3 linked regions of the Drosophila melanogaster genome follow. The protein of the gene in region 3 interacts with the protein of the main gene of each other region in a pairwise test. Each region holds a gene or a part of one and is shown on either strand. Other genes may lie near its edges.

Region 1 (9,509 bases), 9.6 Mb from region 3:
AGAAATTTGCCGCACAACAACAAAATATTCAAATGAGGCTGCGTGTGAAAGAGAGAAAGCAGCGGCATGCCAAAAAACGAAATAATACATAAAAAAGCTGCGTAGGTGTTGCTTCTACCTCTCTCGCTCTGTGTCTGTCTGCCCCCCTCGGCCAACATTTTTTGTTATTATTATTGCACACACATACACACACACACACAAACAACTCTCAATTTCTGCTTTTACTTTAAGCTTTATTTCAGCATTTCTTACGTTTTCCACTGCGTTTTTCTCAAATTTTGCTCATTCGGCACGCCACTAAAAAAAACCAAAACATTTAAATATATACACCGTTAATTTGTGTATTTTATTTACTTCTATTCTGTTGTTGTCGTTGGTTATAAAAAAAATAACAAAAAACAAACACAGGCGCACGCACACTTACACGTACACGCAGGCACGCGACGCAAAGCACAGACACAAGAAAAAAGCGGAACGGACAATCGACAAATTTTGCGTTTTTCGAGCGTTTGCTTTGCGGCCCGCCTTAACAGATTTCGCGTCCGTACCGTCCGCACTCCGGTTCGCTCTTCACCACACTGAATTGGAATCTGATTCAAATCGGATTCGAGTCCGGAGTCGAATTTGGAATCGGAATTGGAATCGGAATCGGAATCGCCAACGCTCGTTTCACCTGTAGAGCTGGACAAATAATCGATGACCCAGCGATGGTATCGATAGGAACCTGCGCGGCTTCTATGTTTCGCTTGTAACTGTCAACTATTTAAAAGCAGAATTAACCATTACTTTGCTGCGCGGTTATAAAATAGTTAAATACAATTAAATTTGTTGCACTTGATTCTTTTTAACGTGAACCAAGCATTGCGGCAGTAGTACTTCGGCCATTACAAGTCCGAGCTCCGTAATTCTTATTATTCAATTACTCACACAAAATGTTAGTCCAAATGGACATCTGAGCCATGGGCTTAGTGAGCCAAGGCGATAGGCTGTATATGTGTACCCAGACAGCATGCACAGCGAAATGTTAACAAAGAAAACATTTAATATTTTATTATTTATCCCGCGCAAAACCGATCTGACCAAACTCAAGGTGTTTTTTGTTTCCGAATGCAATCGATTATAATCGATAGTTCAAACTCACCTCTGAGGGGAGTTAATTCGCCGTTATTCGGCTGCAATGCGTGCGCGCAAGGCAGATATAATGTGGCGCGCATTTCAAATCAGCTTATAAAAAAGTGTAACATTCCAACTCCTGAAAATAGGAAGTAACTTCATTGATTGAAAACACTTCCATCTTCTTTTATATAATTTATTATTTATTAAGGTTTCATTTGCATGAACTGTTACTGGTTATTATAATTAATTATTGTTAATTACAGGCTATGTTTTAATTGCTAGAGATTAGCAAGTTCTAAAAATTACATTACACATTATTATTCTTATACAGAGTATACCTCTTGACATTTGACATTACAGTTAAAACTAAATTACTAAAAAAAAACAATTCAAACTTTCATTTTTATTTGGACATATAACAACGCAAGGAAAACAAACAAAAATTAAATGAAAGGATAAGCCAAAAGTGTTTAAAGAGCACAACTCGTTTGAACAAACACTGAACGATTCGCTGGGGAATTAGCATTGGACTTTTAATTTAATTACACACTAGACAAACCGAGTTATAATTAAAAATACAAACAAAAAATTGAGCTAAACGAAAAGTTAATAGCATATATGTATGCATACATTTATAGCTAGAGGAATTTCGCTATAAAACAAAAAATAACGAAACGTGTTCCCCCCCGCCTCCCGCCTTCTCTGCGCCCATCACCAACCGCCGTTCCCCCAAACCCCCCGAAACCACCCACCGCCTCATATTTACCACTAGAACCACTTGGCCGAAAAAAAAATCATATATTCCCTCCGATACGCCGGTGATAAGAACGCAACGCCAAGGACAATGGCAAAGGCTTTGATAACAGGTCGGAGCGAGATGGGAATATGTCTCGCTCCCTTTCTGTGAGTATTGAACTACAGCCAAACTTCGCTAGTACGAACTTCAAAAACACTTTGAAATTTCAACTTAATCATATTTTGTCCAGTAGACATTATAGAAGTGTAACATAGATCAATTAAAATGATTATATTGTATTTAGCGGATTGGATTTTGGATGACAAACTTTTTTTTTAATTTTGAACACATTTGTAATAACTACAAAGTTTATAAGGATATGGATTTGGGGTATGCTTATATGCTTTGTAAAGTTCCCAAAATTAAAACTGTTGAAAAATAAAGCTGCGCCTGGAAGTGTTTTTATAGATTACAAAGGGATATCGAAGGAGATTTGTGATATAAATATATATACATAAATATATATATATAAAAATAATATGCTATTCTTCATAAAATAAAAAACCTTTAATAAAGTCTCCAATTCTGAGACTGAAGAGTTTGACTTGGATTAGTTTGACTGTACATATGTAGTCCTCTTTCTTTCTTCGAGCGAGACGGCAAAACTAAAAGCGAGCGTTTAATTTCCATCGATTGCAACATCCGTTTGTTTAACTATTAATGAGTTGTGTTTAGCACGTTCTAGACTTAGGGCGAAATAAATATATAATTGTTTGTTTGTTTTTCTATTTTCTTTTCTTTTTTTTTTTGTACTCTTTTTACACTGGTGTTTTGGGGCGGAAGGTGATAACTGGGAAATCGGGGAAATGGGGTTTAAATTTCAACTAAAACCAAATCCGAGCACTGATCTAATGTTCATTCACACCCATGCTGACACGATCACAAACTCACTCACGCTCGCACTCATACATATTTACAAATTAAACGTAATTACATAACGAAAATTATTGATAATGGAACGCATTTAGCAGCACCCACCGATCGCCATTCATCAATATAACATGTAATCAAACTACTATTTTATACCGAAATCACACACAGAAACAGTAATGGCCAAATGTACCCAAAATGTATCGCTTATGTTTTGAGAAAACGATTATCGTGATCAGATCATTATTACTGTCATAATATCAAAATAAATGCGAGCTCATATTGCATTTTCATCAAATGAAACCACGTTAATTTCGTTTTTAATACGGAAACCCTATAGATCAATTGAAGTCGAAAAGTACGTAGAAAGCGAAAATCACGGAAAGTCTCATATTAAATTACACAATTGCTTGATTTGTTAATAGCTTTTGTAAAGCCAACTCATTATACATATGTGTATACTGAAAATTAAAATTGTTTGATTGCTCAAAGCTTGGAAATGTGAATATGAAAACAAAAGGTTTTTCAACCCACGCTCTTTTTTTTCGTTTTTAAGTTTTTTGGCTGAATTTTTAAACTATTTGAATAATGCTCGTTTTTTTCTGATACATTTTGGGTTTTCATTTTGCGATTGGCCAGGATTATATTACCGATACTAATTCGTTTGTGGGCACGTGAGCTACCAATGACGTCCATTTCCACACACCCAATTAGAAGGCAAACCAGGTTCCATCAGCCCGTCATCGCAGCGTGCTGGTCAGGGTTCGATGCAGGACACTGGGACGTGTGTGGAGCGACGGTGGCGGTGATGTGTTGCTGTGCGGATCGGGCGTGTCCGGTGCTTCGCTGGCACTCAAGCTACTGGCTGGTGATAGGATACAGGATGCCGTTTCCGCCTCGCTTAGGCAGCTGCTCAGTTGCCGGATCACGCCCTGCGTGGAGTTGGTGCGCTCCTTAAGCTGCTCACGGTCACGTTCACGCTGCTTCTGATGCTCCTGCTGAAACTTTCTGGCCGCCGTCACATTGACCACACTCACCGACTTGGAGATGGAGCTCTTGACCGATGAGGGAGCCGGCGGCACCAAGGCCAAGGCGGGCGTGGGCGAGGGAGCTAACTCCTCGAGAGTTAAGGTATTTGCTGGCGAACTGTAGCCATCGTCCATTAGGCTTTCCATGCCCTGGCCGCCAACCGTCTCTGCTGAATCCACACTCTTCTGTAGGTTCTCTATTAGATAGAGGACAATTCTCTCAAGTTGCTGCGGTGCCTGCGAGGCGGGCAAATCGGGACTGCTGCTCTGCGTGGGCATCTCCGCCTTGATGATTGTCGAGAATTTCTCCTTCATCTCCTGCACCTTTTGCCGGCCCGCCTCCTCATCGAGCAGCGTGTTGACGCACAGAAAGGAATGCACCTTATTACTGCCACGGTCGACCTCCAGAAATCCCTTGGTGTGCAGGTAAATGAAGCGCCCGTTGCGGGACAGCAGACGGTAGCAGCTCTCGCCGTAGTCACTGTTGCAATCGTACATTTGTCGAAGGGCCACAATCACCCAGCGAACGTCGTCCAGGTGCATGAAACAGAAGGGACTAAGGTTGCGCACCTGTTTCGAGTGGAGAGTACACGATTAGTTGTCGTAAGCAGTTCAGAGAGATGATGTTAATATACCCACCTCATCCTTCATATATCCCGCCACCAGACCAATCCTTTGATCACAGTCGATGATGCTGCCGTCGATTAGATGCCTCGTATGGTACTCCAACTGATAGGGTTCTGGCTGTCTGTAAATGGTCAAGCCCACTGTACCCTCCGTCTCCTCAGGCGGCCGTTCCTCTCGCAGCACCCTGGCCATGGCCACCAGGACAATATCATTGCCGCTAATCCCGTGCAGCGCCGCCTGGGCAATGGCATCGTGCTGGGGCGGCACCGTCGCCGCTTCTGCTGCCACTGCTGCAGCAGCAGCCAGCATATTGTTGTTTCTCGAGCGTCGTATCAGCTGGGAGACAATCGGATAGTTGGCAGCGGCACCTCCGGTTAAGGAGGAGTCACTGCGACGAAAGCAGCCATCGATCTTAACCCGCTCGTAATGACGCGTGGCCTCCGCTCGCGTGGAAGCCCTAGCCAAGCGGACGGTAAAGCAGCGCCGATCCATGCGTAGTCGGTCATCAATGGTCGCCAAATGGGCCATTCTCCGCGGGCTGGGTGTTCGTCGGTTGTACGGGTGATCCTCGTCATCGTCCGCCTCTCCCTGCTGCCGACCCAGACGGTGTTCCTCCGTCTCCATTTCCTCCTCCTCCAGATCACTGCCCGAAGTTGAGGCCGACGTGGAAGTGGAGTGCTGCTGGGGATTGTGCCCCTGCTGCTGGTGGTGCTGATGCTGATAGAACAGGGTCTCTATATCCCTGGGTATTAGCTGCTGTCTTAACAGATCCTGATCATCGGGATGCGTGATCTGCAGTAGATTCTGGCCATACAAATCGGACTGACAGTGACCCAATAGCTGCTCCACGCTGGTGGATACCAAAACGATTTGGCCACTGCAGGTTAGGGTGAGGAAGCAGCAGTCCAGCAGTTGCATTAGAGTGTCCGTTAGATGCAGACTGGGATTGGGTAGATCTCCGACAGGTGAGGCAGACATACCCGTTCCCTTGAGGCCGGTTTTCTTGCGACGTCTGGAAGCGGACTTGCCAAAGACATACTGAAGTCTCAGGCCATGGGTGGCGAATCTAAGGACGGCGGTTTTGTCCAGGCGACGGGAGGATTCGGCTGCATGTGGTACCATGGTGGCCAGCTCCTGGATGCTGGCATTAAGCTTATCCCGTCGCTGTTTTTCGGCAAGGTTACGGGCCTCCCGTCCATTCGCTGGATCTGAGGAGCTCCCACTTCCCGATCCCGATCCCGATCCCGATCCTGTCGAGCCAGCGGATCCTGTGGAGCCCGTGTTGCCCGTCTCTGGTGCTGCCATTTTGGACTTTTTGGGCGTTTTCTGGAGTTACTGCCTCCTTGTTTTCCACTTGTAATCCTCGATTTATGGATTTTCCCCTTTAATTGGCGCCTTGCGGTAAATGAAAATCGTCACTCTCCATAACAGGGTGTACGCTCCGCACTTCTAGAATTGTTATTATGGAAATTTTTCGGCTAAAATATATTTTTTATTACTTTTGCAGCTTTTAGTTTCTTATTTTTGGCTGTTGTCTTGTTTTTTTTGCTGCTTTTAAAGTTTTCAAGGTCTCGCTTATGCTGTGCTGTTGTTTTTGTTTTTGCTCGCCTCCCCTCTCTCGCTCACTCTCCTTCGCTCACTGACACACACACACACACGTCACTCTCACGCAACGTACATATGTTTTCTCTTTTCGCTTTCGTACTTTTCCACTTGCTTTTAGTCTTATTATTACTATTATTTGCTTCCCTATTTATTTATGCGTTTCGCCTTGTAGTTTTTTATTTTTCGTTTTTTTTTTACGTTTTGATTGCGTTGCGAATCTGAATCTCCTGCTTATTGTTGTTGCTGTTGCTGGTGGCGTTGTTGTTGTTGCGATTTAATGCCCGCAATAAGGAAATTCGGAGGGCGGCGGTCGTTTTAACAACGCACTTGCTGCTTGCACTTATTTTTGTTTATACTAAGTGATTAATTGTTTATTTGTAACATTTATTTTATAACAATAAACATTGGCCAGTCTAAAAACTATCGATACATCGATGTAACTGGTTGTCGTACTAAAATTCGCACGTTCACACCGGACAAAATATCAGAAAGATTCGAACATCTTGTTCGCTGTCGATAACATTGTTGTAATACATGTAATCTATCAGGTCTTTTTATAATTCTATTATAAATTATTTTTATTAATTCTTATTATAATACATAAGTCCACAGTAATAATGTAATAACTTTTGATGTTACAATAAATCCATAAATATTTTTGCTACAAAATTCGAATAATTTCGATAGCAGACGTCATGCAATTTTATTATCGATTAGCACGCTCGATAACTATTGGCGCTCTTTCTTGTTTACGGCATTTCATTTTCTGCTGAAATTGGCTGTTTTTTGAACGTTATTAACTGAGGAGTTATTATGGATGCCTTTGATCCACGCTCGATTATCAACGGCGGCATGCTGAAGCAGTTTTCCGGCCAAACCGTGAGCATAATGGTTCGCGTGGAGAGCGTCGCGGGATCCACTTTGCTGGCCAGTTCCACAGACAACCACAAGCTAAAGATCAATCTGCCGGGTGAGCTGGGCGCCGCCGAAGGGGCCTGGGTCGAGGTCATTGGAGTGCCCCATGGTGCGGACACCCTCAGGGCCAAGGAGGTGGGTGCACTCAATCCATGGAGTCATTTATTTCAATGATCCCAAACCATTTGCCCACTATTCATTTGCAGGTCATCGAGTTTGGCGGCGAGAACATCGACTTCGATAAGGATGGCTATAATGGATTGAGCCACCTGATTAACAATGTCAAGGCCTTCTATCGCAGCGGCTAGGATGTCCACAATTATATCTAAGAATTAATATTATGTACTCTAATGTTATTTTTTCCATTTTTTTGGAGAACACTCAGAGCTGGCATTAACTTTAAATATAAATCATCTATCTACATATATTACGAGTACAATTTACGGGTGTTTTAACCAGTTCCACGTATATTCTACAACAAATACTTAATACCCACAATTTAATAACATAAACAACACATTCTTAAACGCTCTTGTGTAATAACATTTACTTCCACAATTTGTTATTGTATATATGTTGGTATAAAAAGACTAACTAGCAGATAATCAATTCAACAGTTGAACAATTAACATAGGGCGAGCCAGCTGACGAGTGATGACCAGTTGCATGGACTCCAAGTCCGTATGCAACTTGAGGGTTATTGCAGCACAGCCGCATTGGCCACCACGCTAGGATTGTTGACCACCTCGCCGAGCGAATCGAGAACCTCCTTTCTGTAGTCATCGAACTCTCCAACAATCTCGTTGATCGTCTGATCCTCAATTACGTAGAGAGTGCAACCTGTTTCACGGATCAAACGCTCGTCGTGGGAGACGATGATCACGCCACCCTCGTACTCGTTGATTGCCTCCGCCAAGGCGTCGATACTCTCGATGTCCAGATTGTTCGTAGGCTCATCGAGAATTAGTACATCCGGCGCACTCAAGCATAGCTCAGCGAGGGCCACACGGGCTTTCTGACCACCGGACAGATCCTTCATCTTGATGGTGTGTGCATGACTGACCAAACCAAAGGAACCCAATGCCTTACGCGCCTTTTCGTGGGGCAGATTGAACAGACGCTGCAGGTACTCTGCAGCCGATTCCTCTGCCGTGAGATGTTCACCTGAGTGCTGATCGAAGCGGCCCACATGAAGTCGGTGATTCTTGCGCTGCTCACCCTCCTGCGGTTCCAATTCACCGAGCAGCAGCTTGAGGAAGGTTGATTTGCCCACACCATTGGGTCCCACGATGGCCACTCGACTAGTTAGATCAATGCCAAAGTCAACCTTGATGAACAGCGGTTTCTGGCTCGGAAAGGCGAAGGTGACATTGTGGACACCCAGAATGGGTGGCTGGAGCTGCGATGGCTCCGGGAAGCGGAACTTGACAATATATTCCTTGGGCCTGGCCAACAGCTCCTGAGGTCCCTCATCCTCGTCCTGTTTCTGCTGCTTAGACTTGTTCTTCTCCTGCTTGCGTGTGAGCGATTCCTTCTGCTTCTTTTCCGCTGCCTTCTTCGACTGACCGTGGGCCTTCAGCTCGCGCAGGCGCTTCTCCTGCTTCTCGTACTCCTTGATCATCTCGCGGCGTTTCTGCACATACATCTTCTTGAACATGGAATAGTTGCCCTTGTAGTATTGCAGTTTCTTTTGATCCAAATGTATGATCTCGTTGCAGACGTTGTCCAAGAAACTCTGGTCGTGGGACACGATCAACAGGGTCTTCTTCCAGCCCTGCAGATAGTTGTCCAGCCAAATGACAGCATTAAGATCCAAATGATTGGTCGGTTCGTCGAGCATAAGCAACGTGGGCTCCAGATAGAGAGCTCTTGCTAGGGACACTCTCATGCGCCAGCCTCCGGAGAATTTGTTCGTCGGCCTGTCCTGCATCTCTTTGCTGAAACCCAAACCGGCAAGGATTCTTCGTGCCCTGGCTTCCGCCGAGTAGGCTCCAATGGCTTTCAGTTCCGCGAAGGTATCGTTTAGCTCCTCCTGCACCGTCAAATCGCCAGCGACAAACTGTTTCTCCAGTTCATCGGCCTTCTTTAGCATCTCTGTGCGACGCACATCAGCTTCCAAGATTGTATTGATGGCCGTTTTATCGGTAGCTACGACTTCCTGTTCGCAAAGCAGCACATCGATATTGGGCGGTATGGCAAAGGCACGGGTGGCAATATGCCGGAGCAGGGTGGTCTTGCCGTGCCCGTTGGGACCCACCAAACCATAACGGCGTCCATGTGCAATCAATAGGTTGGCGTTCACAAATAGATCGTTACCTGAAAAAAAAAAAAATGTTTGGATTTAAAATTGATAATGCACAACGAAAAGTTATAGCAATGATGACTCACCCTTGGCTGAGATGGTGAAATTCTCGATCTTGATATCCACGGCTTGCTCCAGAGCCGCCTTTTGACCAGCGCTCTTCTGCACCTGCGACATGGTGAAATTGTTGTCCAAGTCCGAGTGACCGGCACCACCCTTCTTTGTCATCAGCTCCATTTGGCGTTCGTAC
Region 2 (6,760 bases), on a different chromosome or scaffold from region 3:
AGCAATCGGTGCTAGACAAGGAGAACTCGCTCATCAATAGCTTCTCCACGATGATCATCGATGAGAATGCCAAGAACCTGCAGCAGGTGAGCAACGGCAAGTTGCTGGTGGACTTTGAGAGCACCAATACTGTGCCGGCGGTGGCCAACGGCAATGGACACATCGAGAATGTCAACAACAAGAAGTGAGTGGAGGGAAGTGATATTCTCTCAATTATTATTAACGTTCAACAAATTGTAGTGACATCAATCTGCTGCAGGACGTAGTCGCTCCGGTCGCCACCCAGCTGATTGACCTGAGCATCGAGTCACAAGATCTACACCTGAACAATAACAACAGCTTGCTGACGAGCACAGCGGCAACCACCACGCTAGTCACTGCTGATAGTCACGAAAATAAAGGTACCATTGATTTCATTTATTGCTCATAATAGTCCTTTAATATAATCCTGTTTCTACCAACGACAGATATATCGCTGCTGTGAATTGGATGAGGAAACCAAACTGATTGTTTTCTAAACCTAAATCTTGATATAGCTAAATGTGTGTGGAGTCGGAGTATTTATTTATAGGATGAGATCTATATAGGAATGCGAGTGGACAGTGCGACAAATTATGGTTACTAAAAACAGGAAAACGTAAAAGCTTAAAAAAACCTATATATTTAAACGTACACATTATATAGATAGATCTGAATCAGAATCAGAGCGGGAGTAACGATAAGACCGATCCCGAGCAGCTGCAGATAAAAATTAGTTAAGAACTAAGACAAACCCTAAAAGAGAAAGCGTGAGATATGGTGGGGACATCCTCCTCAGAGATCGGGGATCGTTTGCGAAGCAATTTAATATCAAAGAAATCTGTTTGTGAAGTACTACAACTAAGCTAAAAAAAAGAACATTTGATGCAATTTTCGATTCGAATCGTTGCGTTTCGATCTAATATAATTACAAACTCGCTTCAAAAGTTGAAAGTGCATGCTTACATTGAGTATAACTTGAGCCAGAGAGCAGGATAATCGCCTGGGCCGACGCCGAAGCAGCGTATATAATTGAAAATTATATAAAATTAGTAGACAACAAACCCCTAGTATAAACAACAACGCGAGATTCTACGGGGCACCCAGATCGAATTGTGTGTGGACGGGTCCCGAGCAAGCAATAAAAGAATACGAAGACGCGGTATCCACATACCATTAACCCATCCACATTTACAGCGCCTCACTGCTAGGAGGGCATATTCGAACCCCCTCTTTATTTTTTGCCCAACTTTGCACAGTTGTTCTGTAAGTTAAGTTTAATACGTTGAGCCAACGAATCGTGAGGTATTATTTATTTAAACAAAACGAAACAAACGAAAAAAAAAAAACATAGGAAAGAGGAGGAAATAAGGAAATTCAATTGAAATTATTTGCTGATACTGTTCGCAGCTAGTCGAGCAGATACATAGGTAGCCTGTAAACAATAAAACAATTACACGCGGATATATACACCCACTGTAATCACAGATGTCAGTGCTTGATATACACATGCCTAGGTCTAGTGGAACTGGTAGTTCTACCATGTTGTACTATTTGTAGTAGGAGTCCCAAATCTGATTATGCTTATGTCACCCTTTATTATAGGAATGTTCTCTGTATATTATTGCGTCTCTTTTGCGTCTACGTATATATTTTTTGGTAAATGATTTTTTATATATACATATACACATTTATATTTGTAATTTGTATTTATCCATGTGCAAAAATAAATTATGATGATTATTTTTTAAAGAGTCGTCCCCCTCGAAGCATGCATAACAGATTGTAAAAAATGAATCGATTTATATATAATACGAAAATCACACACTACCCACTTGTATCTGAGCGAAAGGGCCTTAACAATTAGTAGGATGCATGATCGATGTATGCAGATCGGTTATAAAAACAGATATAGCAGGCATATTATTCGCATGCGAAAACCGTTAATAGAATAATATATTATAATGGCAATATGTGTATGCAACTAATAAGCCCTAACTTCTAGTTAATTACTGCTTTCCTATGTTATAAACCAAATGGCGATATAATCAAAACAAAAGACAAGCCCACATAAGTTAAATGTGTATGCTACCAACATAACAAACCTTTGAAGATCAAGCTGAATTATGTATTTCTAATATTAAATATATCACAACCCACACATAAAAAAAAAAAAACAAACACGACAAATAGAACAACAAATTATACAAGCAATTCCCCTATTTATTTAGAACCACACTGAAACACTAAAGAAATTCGCTTCTTATCGTAAATCCACAATTGCATAATTTATACGATTAAACAAAATATATATTTATGTGAATAAACTGTAACTAATTCTCAAGGCAATCATCCAAATGCGATTCGCTACTTCTTGGTTTCCAGAAAGTCCCCCAAAAATGTCATGGTCATCTGAATGGAATGCTGCTGCAAGAACCTCTCGATAAGGGGGAACATAGGAAGTTTTCAATGGAACTTTACTCTGGCGAATCTTATCGGATAGTTTGTACACAACCGCAAAAAGTAGCACTAATAGTGGTTGACTTCTATTAAAAGTAAAGCAACAGGTGGATCATGGAAATCATACTGATTCAGATTCATTATCTTTTCAAAACCTATTGAAAACAAAAGTTACTGGTTTAGAAGGCAAATGAACCAGAAATTTTAAATTTATACTTATATAGTGTAAAATTGTTTCCAGTGCTCGATAGTTCCATGTTTTATTATTTGAAAAACAACTGCCGTTAACAAAGCGGTATGACATCATCAATGCCATCATAACAAATCAGCTGCCGCTGATAAGCGCAGCTTGGAGCTTTTATGTTGTACCCAACCTACTAGGTACAAGACTGAGTGTGCTTTACAACACTAAACTGTTGGCGAGCTTTCCTCTGTTTCGCAGCTCGGACCGCCTTTCATAACGTAGTAAGTTTTCGTTGCGAACGGACGTAGCCCAACCAACTTGGCCTTAACCCTTGCGCTCCCTCCGATTTATTCCGCGGCAAACACATTCCAGTGGACAGTGGTGCAGTTCAGCCCAAGACCAACCTACATTTTAGCTCCCTGCAAACCCGTTTCTTCATCAAATAACTATGGCGTCCAACCGTGCAGCGAAGTCTGGTTTTGCCGCCGAGGCCCAGCGCAAAGTAAGTACCAAATAGCAACAACAACCGCACCCCCCACCCAAAAACCGAAGAGCGCCAAACAAAACAACACAATAAACAAATTGCCCAAAAAAAAATCAACTTTTGCACGGGTGTGTGCGTGAGTTTAGAGCTGCATTGACTTTATTTGGCGCTGCGTTGTCAAGATTTTATCTTCGCGCGCCAAATGCCAAAAATTAGCCAAAAATGGTCTTGAAATTGCCAGCGTCTAACAAGGAATGACCTCATTTCGCTGATAAGTCGAACAAGTATTTATGTACATACATATGTATATAGGAATATATACATGCATGTACACACATGTGTAATGCATGCGTAATTCGAAAGCTTGAAGATGATTTAGGTGATTTTGAGGCATTGTCAGTGCGGGTGATTCAAATCGAAGATCGAGAAAACAGTTGGTTATCCATAAATCAAACAATTAGTAGTAGTTAGTAAAGCTCTGGAAATTTCGATATGAATAATATCCCAAGTTCGAACAGTATACATTATAAAGATGAGCTAATATAATCCTAATTAATTGTGCTGCAATAAAAGCAAGTCTGAATACATAGGTGCTACTTGTGGAGTATCCACTGTAGAAGGAAGACCCTTTGGATGATCTCAACCCAACTATTGCAGCATGGTAGCTTCCGCAATGTAAATTGACATTAGTTCCGTCCATTAGCAGCACTTTGCCTCAAATGCACTCATACAAATGCATCGGGCTTTTGTGGGTGGGATGGGGTTGGGGATGGGTTACCCGTACCCTTCGGCCATTTGGCCCTCGTCAAGTCGGGGTTACGCAATTCCAACCGCCCCTGGGCAGCCCCAAGTGAAATTGTATATGTCGCCGGCACAGGGGATTAAGTGCAGTCCGACGAAATCCACAACAAGACAACTACAGTTACAGCATTGCCCAAACAAAAAACGAAACAAATAATCGAGATTTTTCATATCCGAAGTTTTGTATACCCTTGAGGAGCACTTTACCAAGTTGTTGACAAACTGAAATATTTTGTTTTGCTTTAGCTTTGCTTATCTAAAAGTATTTCCACCCGGATTTCATTCTCTTGAGTCAGCCATTTGGCAAAAGGCCTTGTTTATCGGTATTATCTGTACTAGCGCATTTTTAAAACACAGTATGTTTTAAAACACAGTATGAAGTATGTTTTAACGTGGTTTATGGTGATATATCAGGCACTATGGTTATGAAAAATATTATGAGAACTCTGTAGTGTTTATTTATGCCATATCATGTTAAGCTAAAACATTTTGGTACTTGGAATAGGAAGAACCTTGGCATAGGGTATAGAAAAATAAGAGAAATAGAGGCGAGTGCCTGGAGGCGCAGCTGCTGGCGCGACTCCAAGCCGCGATCGAATGGCTCCCCAGGAGCCGAAGGCGATGATGTCATTCCTTCAGCTGTCCCTCCACTGGTGCTCCTCGATCCCTTCGCGATCCATTCAACTCGAAGGCGTTGTTAGTTTGAGCACTTTTGCCGCTCGCTGGGAGTCACTCATATCTTCTGAGGGGGATTCGGGTTCGGGTTTTGAGTTTTTGGGGGTGACAGGAGGTAGAGGCGATAGCAGCACCTTTTCCACCACATGAGCACTTAAAACTGAGTATGTGGCGTAAGCAAACAGCAAAACAAAAGTGAGGCAAAAAGGTATGAAAGCAATATTTTTGTTTGTCTCATGGGTTCTCTACACTCCGTGCTTGCGTGTGTGCTTTTTCCGACTTTTACGACCAGTCACCGACAAATTGGCATGGATCTCAAGTTTCGGCCAGGGAATTCGTAGCCCCTTTATTTTCAACCCTTTCCTGGGATCGTAGCACCAGCTGTCGGGAAAGTTCTAGGAATGAGGCAGAAAGGTCTCAAGTTACTCAAAGTATGTTTACTAATTTGTAACTACATAAACGATTGAATATATTAGTTTAGCAATCTTAGATTCAGCATGATACTATTTCCTTTCTGGAAATTCACCCCTAAGAAGCCGCACTGTAGTTGTTTTCTTTTCCAACTCCCTCCACGCTCGCAGCTGTATCTCACCGCATTGGCGGCACATGGGCCACGTACTAATCACTTGGCCTTTTTCGGAGTCAAGAATCCACACTCAATTAGCAGTGCATATGTGAAAGACACTGTGTACACACTTGTACATCCGCAGCACGCACCTCCCTGTATCTGTATCTATATATCAGTATAGGTACGGGTATCTCTATCAGTGCGGGCGACACGTAAGTGGAACACTTGGCCCACATGAACTCCGTGCTCCTAGATGGGTATAGCTAGGTATTCATTCCCGAACCTCTCCCCCAAAAATTTAACACTTGTTGGCCGCTAGTTTTAGATAAGCCATAAACAGTCGCGGGAGGTGGTCGACAGCGGCTTTATCGTAAATCAAATGCTGTTTTGGATTTCCGGTGAAACTACTGCCAGTGCCGAAAACACCTCGACAAATGAAAATGGAATGAAATTCTGCCCCCTGTCCAAATCCCTCCGAAAAAGGCACTCGATGGGGGCCCATACAACAACTCAGTCAACTGAAGTCGAAGTTGGTCGCTCGTAAACCAGACTCAAAAATCATATATGTATGTACGCAATTGACCTCGTTACATTTTTGCGGATTTTGTTTATGTTATCGTTGTGGAATTTTTGTCATTTTCCCATTTATTTATCCACCCAAAAGATATCGGTCAGCAATTGTCATGGATCATGACGCATTCGAATCGCAAAAGAAAGCGAAATCGGCGGTGGCATAGTGAATAATCACCAGATCTGGCCATTTCGTGGATTGATTTTTGAAGACGCGATTACGTAATTGTTTGCCTGGCGATGGATGCGTCAACTCCCAGCGATCCCTTTCGCAGCAAAATAAAAAAAAACACACATTTAACTAATCATCACCATCACCATCTACATCTATGTATCTGCGCTCAAATATTGCCAAAGTTCAAATTCAAGCCATAACGATGCCATGACATCACCACCATCGGCTTCAAAAAGCCATCAGCCAAGCAAAACGTGCCCCTGTCTCTTTTTCTGTGATCCTACAATGGATTATTATGCAATGATCATCAGTCTGGGGCTCCTCGCCGGCTTTTGGGCGGAAACTTCCGTCAAATTTGCAATAGGGATTCATTATTTATTAAGTATAAAACGTTTTTAGAATATTAGAGACACTTAGTTTCTTGCTGAAGCTAAAACTTATTTCTTAAAACAAACTGAATGGTACGGCTTAGTAATCCATTAAAGGAAGCATATGATTCCTAAAAATCAAGTTTTTAAAATATTTTATTTTCTGAATTTTTTAAATAAATGAGCTGGCTATCATTAACTACTTCCCGAAGTTTCGGAAACTTGCACAAATCTTTGATCATAAAACTCGTAGTGAAGTAAATTCTCGGAACTCTCACTCAATTGTGAAGTCTGAATCATGATGAACATAAATAATAATGTTATGTTGTACCAAAACATTTTCACTTTTCAAGTGGCGTAGGTGTGAATTAAATTGAGTTGGCGTGGGCAGGCGCTCTCCCAAGAAACTGGACTTTTTTCGGAGCTTGGGTTTCTGCTGACCCCCAGTTTTTTTTTT
Region 3 (7,772 bases):
CACACACACCTCACACACATGCACAGTTTTCGTTACTTATATTTTGCTTTGCTCGTTTTTTTTAATATTTCGTTTTTATATTTATTTTTCAAACAAGTACAAAAAAATAACCCAAAAAAAAAAGAAAATAGAGTATAACGAAAGCAAGTGAGTCGGTTAGCCAGATATATATATATGTACACATATATATATCTATATCTACTCGTGTGTGTGTAGTCGAACCAAACAAAAACAAAAACAACAAAACAATCTGTGTGGACAGCAATTGGAGCAATATCTACGTGTGTCGCTTGCGAAGAGAAAGACCCGCTCGCGTTGATAGCCAACTCAAAACTGATGTCGCGCCAGCCAGCTGCTAACTCTGAATACCGTCGCAGTCGTCGTCGCAGTCGCAGTCACCGCCGCTGCCGTCGGCGCACCAACACACACCACACCAACCCCCCCATCCGACCCACCTGCCCCACATCGCCCACCGCACCACAGCAGCCGTCGCAGAGGAAGAAGAAAAGTCTGCCGTGCAGCGGGAGCATCGGATCGAATCGGATCAGTTTGGATCGCTTGCCATAGCCGAAGACCCCAACATCCGAGCATCCGAGCATCCAAGCATCCAAGCATCCGAGCATCCAAGCATCCGAACATGCGAACATCCGAGTCACGAAGAGTGGAGCGGCAAGAGTGCCGGAGTGGGAGTGGGTGGCAGAAGAAAGTATGAATTCGGCCAGCATAAGCGTACGATTCGTGGGACCCTTTAGTTGAACGATGAAGTGCGGGCATGCTGCTTTCGTGGACTTTCACTCGTCTCGTTTAGAAATCAACACAATTCCGATACATTCTGATTATGATGAATATACGTATATGTACGAATGTCCTGAACATGAGTTTGTTGAACGATCAGGTAATTAGGACCTGGGTATGAGCCAAATAGTCTGGCCATTGGACTGTCTTCTAAAAGCAATGGGTATCGCCAGTTCCGAACTCCTTCTTTCTGCTTTTTGCTCATTTGCAGCTGCGGTGCTGCCTGCTCCCCTTGCTTTTGCTGCGGCTGTGACGAAGAGAGCTCTCGGACGGACGCCCATTAGTGAAATTGGTAGGAAAATGCAGTTGCAGGCGACACGAAGTAACGCAAAGAAAGTAAGAGAGCTCAAAAGGGGCACCCTGTATGGCGTATGCTGTGCGCGATATGCGAAGACGACAACAACTTGTTGGCCCCTACGTCAGCGCGTCTGACGCCCCACCTCCTTGGTTTTCTCCTCGTCTGTCAGCGAGTCTCCGCGGTTCAGACAGCATCCACCCATAGTCCCCTCGTGGGTCTTTGGCAAACGCCCCCGCATAACTACGAAAATAGCAAATTGTTAATTTCGCTTCGAAAACTCTTTTCCAATACACACACGAAATCGCAAATCGTCGAAGGAAATGGTGGTGGGTATTTGGAGGAGGAGGGGAGGGGACACATGATTTTATTGGCATGCTTTCATGGTTTTTCCGTGCGAAACATTTCATTTTTCATTCCACATTTTTTAACACGCTGCTACATAGGACTATTTGTGTGGGCTTCTTCTTGTCGGTGGAGAGAGATGAAATTTATGAAATTTATTAAATATGCTCGCCACACACAAAATCAAGGATAGCTATTAGCTAAACCAATAAAAACCACCCACAATAAGTGTGGACACACTGCCGTCTCTCTCTAACATTCTACCCCTCTCTTTCACTCTGTGTGGGAGCTTTCAAAAGCTCTAGATCATTTGTGTGAATGGAGAATCTGAGAATACGTTCATGTTAAATAGCCAGGATCTCCGACGGCTAAGTATTGTATCCGTCGACTTGTCCCAATTTACAGATATTCCTTTGGGGCGAGATATACAGATAAGATACAACGATATAGAAAGAGATAGAGCCTCAATTTGGCTATTTATAGAACATAATGTGCGTCGTCAGCGGCGAGTTTTGTTCTTTTTTCAAAAACAATATCTATTCTTAGTCGCTGCTTGTGCGTTAATACCATATTTTTGTAAATACATACTAACATACATTCCCGCTGAGACATAAATTTTATAAAAATTGACCAAATGCCATCTGAGAGGCCGCAACATCAAGGTGAGGAGTGGGGACCATCAGGCGATGGTCCACAAACCAAAAATCAATGCCTAGGGGACGCGAACAAGGCGTACAGTGCGGTTCGAAAGCGAAAAGCGATCCTTTCATAATCACAATAGAAGGGATTTCTAGTTGGTTAACATTTTACACATTATAAGTACAAGATCGTGAAATCGTTGGGATCATCTTTTGAATGAAATGAATTAAATTTAGACTGGCTATTTTCGAAGAGTTTCCGCAGTGAACTTTATTTATTACCTCCACCTAATTATATCACAGATATATTAAAAAAAAAAAGAAAGCCACCCAAGGGGCCGGCAGAATAACTAATTTAACTAGTAATACAAAACTTGTTAGGCGGAACAGAACATAGTATGATTTATAATAATAAAACTGAAATATTGAAACATCCGCGCAAATAGGCATGGATGTATATACATTTCCGCCTTCGAGAAAGTCACTCGATTTCTTCTTACAGTCCTGAAACGCACCGCTTATATACGCAAATAAAGCCATATATTTGTGTGGACAATGGGATTAATCGCAGATCCGCAGATAAAACGACCATATATCTTGTTATGCAGTTTATATTTTTTATACATAGATATATTTTGTTGGTTTTCGTCGGTGATTTTTGTATCTCGCATCTAATTGATAACGTTTTGGGTAAATTTATGTTAAAAAGTAATTACAATTGATTTAGAACGGGGCCAGCACCGCAGATATGCGCCTGCTGACATATATATTTATGCTGAATTTGTATGTTTACATACGTCTGTAGATCATAACTATGCATTAATTTTAACCGTTATTTTAATATCTTTACTCGTTTAGCTTTAGTTTAACTTTTACTTTTACTTTGCTTGTGTGCATTTTCTCGTTCGTGTTTTGTGTTCTTTTCAAGTTTTGGATTTTGTTTGTTTTTCGTTTACTGGGACATAAACGTCGAGGAGGCTAATCTTCATCTTAAGGAAAACATTTTCTATATCAATAATAATAATAATATTAGGTAATAAAAAAAAAATAAACAATTACATACACATTTTGCGTAATATTAGGGGGCTTTTGTAGGGTATAAGGGATAGAGAGGAGAAATGCAAACAAACGCAATCACAATGAAACATTTTTCGGATGGAGAACGGGGGAGACTTTAGAGTCGGGACCCTACTCCAGTTTCATCGCCAGGCCGGGTGGCGGCGGCGCCTCCAGCTGCTCGAGAAAGAGCTCCTCCAGCGGCCGGTCGCTGGTAATGCGGAAGAGGAACAGGTGATCCTGGCACTTCAGGCTGATCGATCGCAAAGCGGGCAGACGCAGCAGCAGTTGCGCAAAGCGTCCATCGTCGCCCGGATGTTCCAGGCGGCAGTGCTCGTCCAGGCAAGCGTACACCTTCTCGCGGCACATCTCGATCTCCGCCCGGCTCTTGATCCCGCGTATGTCCGGGTTGTACAGTATGATGGCCTTCAAGCAGGACAGCTCGCGTCGGTCGAGATTCAGCCGCTTCATCTTTACACTCAGCTCCGACAATATGCGGTCGAAGATGGCTGACACACCGGCTTTGATCGCACTGTTGCGATGGTACGAGAAGCTCTGGTTGAGGAACAGCTGCTGGGGCTGAAGGCCCGGTGATCGTCGCTCAAAGGAGCCATCGTGGCCTAGTCCACCGCCCCCGCCGCCGGCACCGCCGTCATCCAGCGAAACGATGCTGCACCAGGCCACGTTCGCAATGAGCAGCTCGATCCAAGCGGCTTTCAGCAGAATCACCTGGTCGTCCAGCGGCACCTGGGCAAAGTGCGGCATCATGCGCGCGTATTCGACCATCTGGAAGAGCTGTTTGTTGACCACTTGGCACAGGGCCGACACGGCACCCTTGTAGTCCGGCTGGACTGTGGAATAGGGACCAACGCGCAGGAACGTCAGTGCACGATCGCCGCATTGGGTCTCCGCTCGCTGCTCGGCCTCTATGATGCGCTCGATCGAGAAATCCCTGGACACGCTATTGGTCATGAAGTCATCAGAACCGTTGCCGCTGCCCATTCCGCCAGAAACGCCGCCTCCTCCTCCTCCGCCTTGAGAGCTGGATCCGCCTACCGAACCTGGACCGCTACTGCCGCCTCCGCTGGCGCTGAGCCTACCCGCCGCATTGCGGGCGCCGCGTTGACGCTCCTCCTGGACCGCTTCGCGCTTCATGCCGCAGGTTAGGCACTTCTGGTAGCGGCAGTACTGGCAGCGGTTCCTCTGCCGCTTGTCTATGATGCAGTTGCGGTTCTCCCTGCAAGCGTATGTGAGATCCTTGCGCACTGTGCGTTTAAAGAAGCCCTTGCAGCCCTCACAGCTGTACACGCCGTAGTGCTTGCCACTGGCCCGATCCCCGCAAATAGAGCAGAGGTGCTTGCTGCCGCTCAGCGGATGGTTAGGCGGATACTGCTGCTGGACTGCAGCGGCGGCAGAGCCTCCAGCCGAATTGGGCGCCTGCGCCATTTGGGCATCTCCAGCGCTGTTGTTGTTGGAGCTGGCGGAGTTGGAGCCGGGCAGCACGTGGACCATGGACATGGCCTGCATGAAGGGCACGGGACTCTCGGCCTTGGGCGAAAAGCTGCTGTTGTTGCTGTCGTTCAGCTGCGAGATGTCCGGCTTGACCTCCTCCTTGATGTGGCTCAGCCGAAAGCTGGCGTCCTGGTCGCAGTTGTCCATCCTGGGCTTGTGATGTGGTGCTGGGTATATTGGAGGAACTGGGGGCAGCGCCTCCTCCGCCTACCGGTTTCTTCTTGCTCGTTCTCTTCGTGTGTATGTGGTGTGTCTTGGCTCGCTTTCGCCTCTCTGTTGGGGTTTCACTTTGCCAACGCCACCGTGTCCGTCCGTCCGCTATTGGTCCGTTGGGCCAAGTGGAGCAGGTTGCAGTTTCGTTGTTGGTGGGGTCGTTGCTGCATTTACATAATCTTGAGCCGATGGAGCAGCGCACTTTATTCGCTCGCCTCCAAACAATTGCGCTTTTTACCAACAAACAAAGAATGCCAGACTTTCTGACTAATGAATAAATACCTTTTTTCGCGTCGACATTTTTTCTCAACAAAGACAATCTCACCACAGCGACGCAACTCACCAACGTAGGGATGGACTGTGACACAGGTTGCGTCGTCACGAGTCACAGTCACGACTGTTAAACACTGTATAAAATTAACAACGGCGATGGTATTACCTTAAGTCATATGGTATATAACGCATCTATAAAATTACATACTCCTCTTTTTAATTAATGCACGACATAAGTACATATATCGGTCTCCCAATTGAAGCACGGATTCGTGACTGGGCGCAATCGCATCTCTAATTCACCACAAAGTGGACAGGGCTGTTTTCCCACTCACAGAAACAGTTTTAAGTGGGCGTTAATGACCCAATTAAAGCGCTAATGCCCATCGCACCTGCCGCAAAAATAAGTGTTTTTACTTTGATAACCAATGCGCAATCAATCAATTAATTAATTTAGTCGAAAACCAGAAAACGGGAGTAGCGACAGCCCTGGCGGCGCCATTGCAAAACTCACCGCACCTACGGCGCATGCAACCCTGAGTCAGTCTGGCTCCCCTCCTCACCGCCTTGCAAACCACACAGTGCACAAATAATTTAGCGCCGCTGCAATTATGCAGAATAGAAATGCAAAATGGAGACGTGAATGTGCGCCAATTTCACCGCTGCCGGCGGCAACCTCGGCCTCAAATCGCAAACGCCGTCGCCGAGAATCGAGCGGTTAGGCTGCTGAACCGTGAATCCCAAGACCAAACGGAACCAGAATTGGGCGAAATGCAAATGGAAGTGCAACTTACTTGCAGCCAGTGGCTTTTGATGCGCCGCAAGGTGACGGTTGTTTATTTACTTTTTTCCTTGGCTATCAGTTATCAGTGCTCGCGAGCACACACACACACAGGCACGTCACTGACACGACAACACCACACGACGCTGATTTAATTTGTTGCAATCTCTATTGTAATTGTAGTAATTGAGTCCATCCCATCATCACAAAGAGACGCGACGCGGTAATTGGCATTCGCAAGAAGAAGCATTTCGCGAAACAACAGCTGACAGCGTGGTGAGAAAGCGATTGCGGGGGGCGAAGAACTGGTTTGTCTGTGGTGAGTATACTGTCGCGGTGAGTTGCCTTGGTTCGGTAAAAAACAATGGCACATTATAGGCTGTTTCCACTTCGCTTAATGGTCAGAAAATCTGAAAATTAATCCGTCATGGATATTTATGTATTTTATATATTTATGCGATAGTTAGACCGCAGTAAATTTCTAAAAAATGAATTTCCGCGATGACCAAGAAGCAGGGATTCAGTAATTCAAGAGCACCCTAACATCTGCCTTAAAATTCGATACCGGTTTAGAACAAAAATGGGAGATTCAAAATTTATATAGAAAAAAATTTGCTTAACACTATCAAATTAAGAAGCTTATTTTAAAACAGTTTAAGGGAATGGAAATAGAGTTTTCACATCAAAATTGACATTCAGGACATATATTCTTAATATTTATTTGATTATTGGTATACAAAAAATACACTAATATGTGATATTTTCTATCAGTTTAATTTTCTGATATCGCAATTTGGGGCCTCAGCCCTAAACAATTTATTTCTATTTGGGTCTATTATCTTGTCAAACCCTTTAGTTGCTAACCCTGTACCTACCGCTTCCTTTATAATGAAATGTATCGAGTTCTTTTGTTTAGCTCAGCCTTATTACGTTTTGCCTGTCGGTTTCGCAAATATTCGGTTTTGATTGGTTTTCAGGCGAATAGTACGATAAGCAAATGCGACTCGTTTGTTTGTTTACGGCTTTTAATCAACATCCGAATCCGAACATTCATGTAGTTTGCTGAGTTCAGCATTGAGGACAGTAAGGGCTCCGATCCGCTGGTTAAGATATTCGATCTCTTCTCGGTACACGCCCGTCTCGTAAAGTAGATTCTCGTACTCCCTCATAATTCCAATATAATCGTCACTGCTGCTGTTGTCGTTACTGTTGTTGTTGTTGCTGCTGCAGCTGCTGCTGCTGCTGCTGTGACCTTGGCTCCGATTATGGCCGCCCCAACTGCCACCCTGAGCCGATGCACTTTCCGGAAACTCCTCAAAGTCCAGATAAAGCTGAAAGTAGGCGGCATCCTGGCTGCGGCAGATAGGGCAAGTCCTTGATCTGCAAAGCAGACGGAATCCGCGTATAAGACAAAACGTTTGAGCTCGGCGATAAGATTTGGGGCACTGCCACTGATTTAAATCACTTTTGTATCATTTTCATTTCTGATTGGTGCATAAATTAGAATATTATATCAGTGGCACATTTCATTTTCGTTATAGCTCTCAAGTCCTTAGGATCACTTTTACTTACTGCTTTCTCCAGTGGTCTAGGCAGTCCTCGTGGAACGCGTGTCCGCAGCTGCCGGCTTGTATATTGTCCGAGGTGCGAAACCGCTCCGAGCAGATCGTGCAGATGACGTTGTTACGGCCCATTCCGCTCCGGTTGACTTATACCTAGGTCGATTCGATTCGCTCCGATCCAATCAGGTTCGATCTCCCTGTGCCGTATTGTTGCTCGGCCGGTGACAGGGGACTGAATGAATGCAAGTCGCTGAATCGAGCGTTTTGCTGATAAGCGTCCAGGCAGCCACAGTACACTCCAC

Evidence for each region. The genes of interacting proteins can lie anywhere in the genome.
Region 1: the proteins of usp (region 3) and Met interact in a two-hybrid assay, tested with the Drosophila melanogaster proteins (2 studies listed by BioGRID).
Region 2: the proteins of usp (region 3) and Chd64 interact in a two-hybrid assay, tested with the Drosophila melanogaster proteins (one study listed by BioGRID).

What each region holds. Positions count from the first base shown.
Region 1 is NC_004354.4:11,613,101-11,622,609, reverse strand, and holds Met (Methoprene-tolerant), read right to left. Parts: upstream 6,487-9,509; 5' UTR 5,743-6,486; coding exon 4,450-5,742; intron 4,381-4,449; coding exon 3,523-4,380; 3' UTR 1,330-3,522; downstream 1-1,329. Other genes in the region: RPA3 (replication protein A3), read left to right, coding at 6,856-7,092, 7,164-7,265; CG1703 (uncharacterized protein), read right to left, coding at 7,655-9,273, 9,346-9,509.
Region 2 is NT_037436.4:4,118,560-4,125,319, reverse strand, and holds the start of Chd64 (Chd64), read left to right. Parts: upstream 1-2,931; 5' UTR 2,932-3,110; coding exon 3,111-3,164; intron 3,165-6,760. Other genes in the region: ens (ensconsin), read left to right, coding at 1-184, 241-401, 468-484.
Region 3 is NC_004354.4:2,036,126-2,043,897, forward strand, and holds usp (ultraspiracle), read right to left. Parts: upstream 6,187-7,772; 5' UTR 5,922-6,186; exon of another isoform or gene 5,743-5,921; intron 5,520-5,742; 5' UTR 5,336-5,519; intron 5,262-5,335; 5' UTR 4,789-5,261; coding exon 3,262-4,788; 3' UTR 2,673-3,261; downstream 1-2,672. Other genes in the region: CG4325 (uncharacterized protein), read right to left, coding at 6,934-7,288, 7,481-7,602. UniProt on the Drosophila melanogaster protein: Receptor for ecdysone. May be an important modulator of insect metamorphosis. Plays an important part in embryonic and post-embryonic development. Binds to ecdysone response elements (ECRES) such as in the promoter region of s15 chorion gene.